Rattus norvegicus: one gene and its partner. The protein of the gene in region 2 interacts with the protein of the main gene of each other region in a biochemical or structural test. Links are inferred from orthologs where the notes say so. Each region holds a gene or a part of one and is shown on either strand. Other genes may lie near its edges.

The links. The genes of interacting proteins can lie anywhere in the genome.
Region 1: the proteins of Pafah1b1 (region 2) and Dcx form a complex in vitro, tested with the Homo sapiens proteins (2 studies listed by BioGRID). The link is inferred for Rattus norvegicus from reciprocal best matches to the Homo sapiens genes PAFAH1B1 and DCX.

The regions. Positions count from the first base shown.
Region 1 is NC_086039.1:112,301,241-112,305,408, forward strand, and holds the start of Dcx (neuronal migration protein doublecortin), read right to left. Parts: upstream 2,922-4,168; 5' UTR 2,878-2,921; intron 2,867-2,877; exon of another isoform or gene 2,702-2,866; intron 2,582-2,701; exon of another isoform or gene 2,385-2,581; intron 1,124-2,384; 5' UTR 1,102-1,123; coding exon 738-1,101; intron 1-737. UniProt on the Homo sapiens protein: Microtubule-associated protein required for initial steps of neuronal dispersion and cortex lamination during cerebral cortex development. May act by competing with the putative neuronal protein kinase DCLK1 in binding to a target protein.
Region 2 is NC_086028.1:60,048,567-60,052,213, forward strand, and holds part of Pafah1b1 (platelet-activating factor acetylhydrolase IB subunit alpha), read right to left. Parts: intron 1,000-3,647; coding exon 915-999; intron 681-914; coding exon 606-680; intron 1-605. UniProt on the Homo sapiens protein: Regulatory subunit (beta subunit) of the cytosolic type I platelet-activating factor (PAF) acetylhydrolase (PAF-AH (I)), an enzyme that catalyzes the hydrolyze of the acetyl group at the sn-2 position of PAF and its analogs and participates in PAF inactivation.

The sequences.
Region 1 (4,168 bases), on a different chromosome or scaffold from region 2:
TTTTTTCTGTTATTACATGTCTTTCAGCAGTCAACACATATAGTTCAGTAGCAGTTCCAAAGTCTAGAGATGATCTGAAAGGATTTAGGCAGAGTGACTCATTCTTACTTTAATAGAAATGGTGTTCATTAAAATACCAGACATACCTACAGCTTTCCTTCGTATCTGTCCCAATGATCTCAGCCCCATGGACACGCCCGTAAGTGAGCTTTTCCAAAGCAACAGCTGAGCAGCAACCACTTACCTAAAAGTCTAATCCTCTGCGAACATATCCAGGGATTCCTATATCGAGGCATGTATTTCTAATGACTGGCAATTCCCAAATAATTTCCCAGTGATTCATAGGAAATGTGGGCACAATTTTTATCTGTTAAACCAACCATACATTCTTCCTTCCCCTAATGGTTTCGTGGCCTGCTCTAATGGTGCTACCCAGGGTTACCTATGAACACTATCTAGAGTGAGTGTCACAATTCAGATTTCCCTTTGTATACCTAGGCAGATAAGCACATTTAGCATTAGCAGACCCACATACATTTCAACCACAGCAGAGATGGAACCCCACAAGGAATGACAGTTAAGGGTGTCTTTGGGATCAGAAGCCTGAGCCATCCGTCAACCTGATGTTTTGGCAAACAAATAGCCAGTTTCTTTCAAGGAAGACTAAAAGTATAACCAGAAGCAGGGATGTCCTTTCCCTCCAGGGGCTACCACCCACTACTCGCTACTTAAATTACCTTCTTCCAGTTCATCCATGCTTCCAATCTTTCTGGATCCATCAATAGTGTAAATGTAGCGCACTCCCTGAGGCAGGTTGATGTTGTCGGACAAGGATCGAGTCAGGTCAGCCAGCAATGCATCAAAACTACGAAAACGGTCAGAAGAAACAGCGTACACAATCCCCTTGAAGTAACGGTCCCCATTGCGGTAGAAACGTACCTTCTTGGCCTTCTTCTCATTACTTAATGCCTGCAAGGTTCTGGTTCTGTAGAAGCTACAGTGAGCACTATGAGTGGGACTTGGAAGTCCATTCATCCGTGACCCTCTCATATTTCTAGATGCTTTGTCTCGTTCGTCAAAATGTCCAAAATCAAGTTCCATATTTTGGTGGAACCACAGCAACCTGATTGTTAGGAAAAGGGGCGGGGATAAGGAGAGGCAAAGAATAAGGAAGGGTAAGGGGAGAAAAGAATTAAAATATTAGCCAGATCCAGAGCTGCAATCTGCTGCCTGTGAAAAGAACTGGTTGAAAAAAGCCTGAGACCCATCTGCTGCTTGTCCCTGACCTGCAGGAATATTGATCTTAATAGAGTAGAAGGAGGGGGCTGGGCAGTGGACTGAGGACTGAATGGTGGGAAGGGGGATAGGAGAAAGAGATAGAAAGGGTGGCACTTCTGGCACTGTTCCAAATTTGGGAGGGGGTGTTGAAACAGCTTAAAAACCTGGAGCTTCCTGACAGTGGCTCCTATCAAATTGTAACTTCGGGCAAAATACATTAAAACTGGCATCTGCTACTTCACACATGGCCACATGACTAACAGTTGTAAATGAATCCATAGCCTGACAAAATCCCCTCAAAGAGAAATAGAGGGAACTAGCCAAGGTTAGCATCTCCAGCATAGGAAGCAGTCTTTACAACCCAGGACAATGACTAGTATGGGGGTGTATTAGTTTTATTTCCAGTCCCTTTTTTCCTGCTCTAATATGTGTATCCCCTCCCCCAGAATAAACTAGGATTCTCTTTTAAAGGGACAGCCTCCAGGGAATACCCAGTGTCTTTGTGCTATTCATCAAACCCTCTCTCCATCAAGCTGGTGCTGCTATACCGCATCCATAAGAAGTAGGCTGGGGTCTAAAAGGGGGGAGGGATTGTCAAAAAACCAGTTATTTAGCAAGCTGTTAGCTCTGCTTTCCTCTTGATTCCATTTGATCACAGAATCCTTTTTCTCCTTTCAGGTGCTTCATCCCCTCCCCGACCAATGCAGCGATATCTCTTAATGAAATAATTGGCGAAAGATTCCCAAATGAGTCCCTGAATAGCATATGGGACCTTTACAAGCGAGGACACCTTTCATTGTTCTGGGTTTCCTCCCCTGACTGACAGAACATTTTGTCCTCAAAGCAGGCAATTCACTTCAAACTTGTCTATTGCTTAGGTGAATTAATGGGGGCAAAAGAAAAAGGTCATCTGTAAAGCTTGGATTTCCACCCCCTCTACCCCCCCCCCGAGCCCATCCCCACCAGGAAATAAAAAAGAACGCAACAATGAAAACATGCAACCAAATAATATAACCAAAGCCTCGACCGCTTACAAAGGTAATAACTTGACATCCAAGAAACCAAACTATTAGCATTCATCTCACAGATGGAGGAAAAAGACTCACAAAGCAAGAGGACTCAGCTGCAATACACTGCCACATCAAGATTTGCAAGGAACCGGGGAGACAGGAGATAAAAGGGGGCTGGTAGCTGGTCTATTTGCCAGGTTCGGTCCCCCCTTTTTCTCCAGTGTCACCATGACCTATGCTGAGCTCAGCATTGTCTCTGTCAGACAACCTGCAGTAGTAAGACCCCACCTCCTCAAGATGAGTAGCAAGCATTTTCCCCAGGCAGGCTGTGCAAATAAAGATACGCTTTAGAATCCGAAGTGCTATTATTCTAAATTAGCATCATAGTGAAAACAAAGAAACAACAAACTCACTTTTCCAAAGGAAAATCCCAGGTAGAATCTTAGAGGACAAAAAAATCCTACAGAATAAGGCAAATAAAAGAGAAGAAAGAGGCGGACACACAGAGAAAGAAAGGCGTGTGCCTTGTGCTTCTCCCGTTTGACATCTGTTACATTCTGCTTGAAAATCACTCGAAAGCCCCACTCACCGGTTTTCTGCTGGTTGGGTGGAGATGCTGTGAGAAAGAAAACCAATCTCTCTATGCCTTTGTTGTCTGAGCTCCAAGCAAGAAATTCCTGCCAGGGTGGATAGTTGCCTTCTAGGTCCTAGTGCCTTGTCCAGCTTCTCCCCTGTAACTGAAGCTTAGCGAACACCCCCAACCTCCTATGATTAATTACATGCTTTTTTTTCTTCAATTCACAGCCTGCATTAACAGCTAGAAAGGTTTCGTTTATAACCCACAGGAAATTGCAGGGTAGGAAAAAAAAAGGATTGCACAGGCAAGCTCAGAATGCTCTAATGAGCAATGTGCTAGCCCTTTCTCTTAGAAAATTGGCAATTTTACTTGGCTAAAAATCCTTGGCCTAATCTGCCTAGTGGCTGGACTCAGCAGGCCAAATCAAGTTTCTTAGAAATTACAGCACTCTTCATTTTACCTTCTTTGAAGAAAATAAAAATTTGTAAATTTTCTGACATTTGAGCTTGCGCATCCGACACTGTTTTTTGTTATTGTTGTTGTTGTTTTTGGTTTTGTTTTGTTTAATGAAGTCAGCGGGTATGGCAAATTAATAATACAAGGGGAAATAGTTGCAGAAATCATGAAGGCTAGAATTGAAAAGTGGCACTCCTCCAAGTTTTTGTTCAGTTGTTTTATCGAGCCAGGGTCCAGCTTTATAGTCATAGCTGTTCTGGAACTCACTGTGTAGCCCAGGCTGACCTCTAACTTGTGGAAAAATTTCAGCCTCTGTTCTGCTTCCTTGCTACTAGAATTTGCCAGCACTTAGGTCCCCAAGCCCAACATGTCTACAAAACATTTTAGACTGATGTAAAACATCGGTTAATGTTTCACCTTCCTACTCCTGGGCATATACCCAAGGGAGACTATACCCTACCATAGAGACACTTGCATATCCATGTTTATTACTGCTCTATTCATAAAAGCCAGAAAATAGAAACAGCCCAGATGTCTGCTAACAGATGAATAGGTAATGAAAATGCAAGATATATGCACAATTTTAATCATCCATTGGTAAAAAGTAAAATTATGAAGAAATTGTGGGGAACTGAAAATGTTATACTGAGTGAGGTATTCTAGGCTAAGAGAGACAAAAGGATTTATTTTCTCTCATATGTAACTCTCTCTTTCTGTGTGTGTGTGTGCACGTGTGTGTGTGTGTGTGTGTGTGTGTGTGTGTGTGTGTGTGGAGAGAGAGAGAGAGAGAGAGAGAGAGAGAGAGAGAGAGAGAGATCAAAAAACATGAAAGCAGCCCATAAGAAGA
Region 2 (3,647 bases):
CTATTCTAACTTTGTCTGTGAAGAATATGTATTTTAGAAATGGGATAGTAAGTTACTTTCATCCTACAGGTTAAAAAAAAAAAACAACTCAGAGATGAGACTGACTCACGTAAGACAAATTTGGTGCTCTTTTTCCAGTTATAATTAGTTATGTCCTTCCAAGGCATTGGTTCTCAACCTCTCTAACGCTTCGACCATATACATCCTTGTATTCTGGTGACCCACAACCATAAAATTACTTTTGTTGTTACTTCCTAAGTGTAATTTTGCTACTGTTAATGAATTATAAATACCTGATACTATAGGTTAGCTGATATTCAACCTCAAAGGGGTGCAGTGCCACCCACAGGCTAAACAGCACTGTTCTAAGGACACAAATGATTCCTTCAGCACCAATTTCTCAGTCAAGACAATGCAAGGTTAAACCTCTAGACTGTTTAATGTGTATCAAAAATAACCTTAAAACCAAAGTTTTCATGAAGCAAAGAAATGTATTTTTTTTTAAGATCAACCATGAGTATCTGCAGATTAGTAATTATGGCAATATTTTCAGAAAATTTATAAGTAGACATTGAATACAACTGACTTAAGAAAGATCTAGTTACCTTTTTTTGTAATCTAATAACAGATGTCCATTTTTTTTCCAAAAGACCAGCATACTTCTTATCTAATTCTTCATTCTGGAAGAGAAAAAGATCTTTTAAAAAATGGCTTAACAATGATACCTTTAAGACAAAACATTATTAAATATTTGACTATACAGAAAGTGGGAAAATTAAGCTCAACACTAAGTAAATCACAACAAATGGCAAAATTTAAATAGCTGAATTGACCTACTGAACCTTAAGTAAAACTTAACTCATTAACTACACTATGAATAATTAGAAAAATGATAATTATACAGTCAAGCATACCATATCTAGTTCAGCTTCCTTTTTAAAAACGGAATATGCCTCTTCATAGCCATTTGAACGAAGATAATCTGCTATAGCTCGATTTCTGAAAGAAAAAAATTAAAATGAGTCCTAAAAAGACCTTCTATTTGAAGAACTACACTTAATAATTTTTTGGGGGGTGGGGTTGGGGCAGCCCAAGGACAAGTTTCTCTGTGAAACCCTGGCTACCCTGGAACTCACTATGTGAGCCAGGCTAACCTCAAACCTGCCTTTGCCTCCTGAGTACTGGGATTAAAGGTGTGTACCACCACTGCCCAGAGTACTAAATTATATAAATATTTCTGGAAATAAAATAGACATACTTCCAAAATTCAAAAACTTAGGTACTGTTACAATTTATCTGTATTGTTTTTTAGCATCTTTTCTTTTTTTGTTATTTTCAGAGATGCAAGGGACTGAACTCAGAACACTGTACATGCTAGGTAAGTGACCCGCCTCTGAGCTCTAGTCCTGGCCTTTGCCATTTTATCACTTTCTAACTTACTGCTCAGCTTGTAAACTGCAGGCACTCCACAGATATATTTCTATACCTAGACATCAATTGTTAAAGTAGCCATCAGTTTTTCTAGTGTTGACATTCACCTTCTCTTACTATTTGATAAACATACTCAAGCATTGGAGATTAGAATTGAGTTTTGCACAGAAATGTTTTAATGAAACTCTACTAAGAATACGAAGAGATGACTAAGTGGTTATAATTTCCTTGCTGTGCAAGCATGAGGATTGAAGTTTATGTCTCATGTAAAGGGCTGAGTGTCCTATGCCAAGTCTGTAGCACAAGGATATGTAGAAAGAGCCTGTCTGGGGCTTGCTGGCTTCTTGACTAGCTAAAATATTCTAGCTCCAAGTTGAGAAAGTAACCGTCCTATTAAAGAGGAACAGGTAAAGAGTGTTGTCTCCAGGCAGACACACATGCATACACCATAAAAGTATCTCTCAGGCACAATACCATCTCCCCCTAAAAAAAAAAAAAAAAAAAATTATAGTAAATATTTTAGTATTAGAAATAACTCTGGGGGGGTTGGAGAGATGGCTCAGTGGTTAAGAGCACGGACTGCTCTTCCCGAGGTCCTGAGTTCAATTCCCAGCAACCACATGGTGGCTCACAACCCTCTGTAATGAGAGCTGATGCCCTCTTCTGGTGTGTCTGAAGACAGCTACAGTGCACTTATATATAAGAAAGAAAGGAAGAAAGGAAGGATGGAGGGAGGGGAGAGGGGAGACAACTCTAAATGCCATGCAGTGGTGGTACATGCCTTTAATTCCAGCACTAGAGACCAAGACAGGAGGACCTGGAGTGTAAGGCCAGCCCATGCTACATAGTGAATTCAAAGCCAGTTTGGACTAGGCATCACTGAAAGACCTTATTTAAAAATGAAGCCAGGCAATGGAGGTACATGCTTATAGTCCCAGGACTCAGGAGGCAAAAACAGGCACATCTCTGAGTTTGAGGCCAGCCTGGTCTACAGAGTGAGTTCCAAAACAGCTAGGGCTAGAGTTAAACTCTGTCTTGAACCCCTGCCTCCCCGAAACAAACAAACAAACGAAAGAAATTAAACTATTTTAATACACTAAAAATGCACAAGCTACAAACAGTATATTGTCTTAGAATGACATTTAGAATTCTAATTAAAGGCAGCAAAGTTGAACTATATTTTCATGCTTCTTTTTCATTCTGTCCTGACAATATTGGCAAGCATCTGTGCTCTCCTATTTCAACATTTCCCAATTACTGTGAGCCTTTCGTCACAAAATTATAGAAAAGGTTGATTTAGGAGTCCTCTGTTTAAGCCTTTAAACTAACTTAAGTAGTTAAGAAGTTAAAAGTCATGGGGTTGGGGATTTAGCTCAGTGGTAGAGTAGAGCACTTGCCTAGCAAGCGCAAGGCCCTGGGTTCGGTCCCCAGCTCCGAAAAAAAGAAAAAAAAAAAAGAAGTTAAAGTCACGAATTAAACAAAACGTAAATATACATACAATAACAGTACATCCTTTAGCCAATTTTATTTTTTTGTGTGTACTGGCCAGCCTTGAATTTACAGAGATACCCCTGCCCCTGCCTCTGAGCATTGGGATGAAAGACATGAGCAACCATGCCTGGTCCTCTCTGCTTTTGTAAGACAGGATTTTGTGAATCCCAGGTTAGCCAGAAACTAAGGATGACCTTGAACTTTTGATCCTAAAGGCATGAGTCACCATACCTGGCAGATGTAAGGCACTAGAAATCAAATCCAAGGATTGTGCATGATATATCCCTAACCCTACTTAATAGGTCCATATTGCCAATTATATCTAATATTTTAACATAGGCAATCACTATTGTGATTTACATGTTTTCAGAGATAATCTACCTAAAACCTATAGTATTTTAGATTCTGAATTTTTTTCCTGAGGCAAGGTCAAACTACAAAGTCCTTGTTGGCCTGGAATAACTCGATATAAATTCTTCTTGTTCCATTTAATTTTGATTCTATTTCCATAAAAGACAACATGAAGTCAAATGAAGAATCATTATATAAAACGACTCCTTTTTTTCCTTTTAAAGTAGGAGCTCACTATGAAGCTTGGAGTAGCCCAATACTTAAGATCCTGTCTCAGGGGCTGGAGAGATGGCTCAGCGGTTAAGAGCACCCGACTGCTCTTCCAGAGGTCATGAGTTCAATTCCCAGCAACCACATGGTGGCTCACAACCATC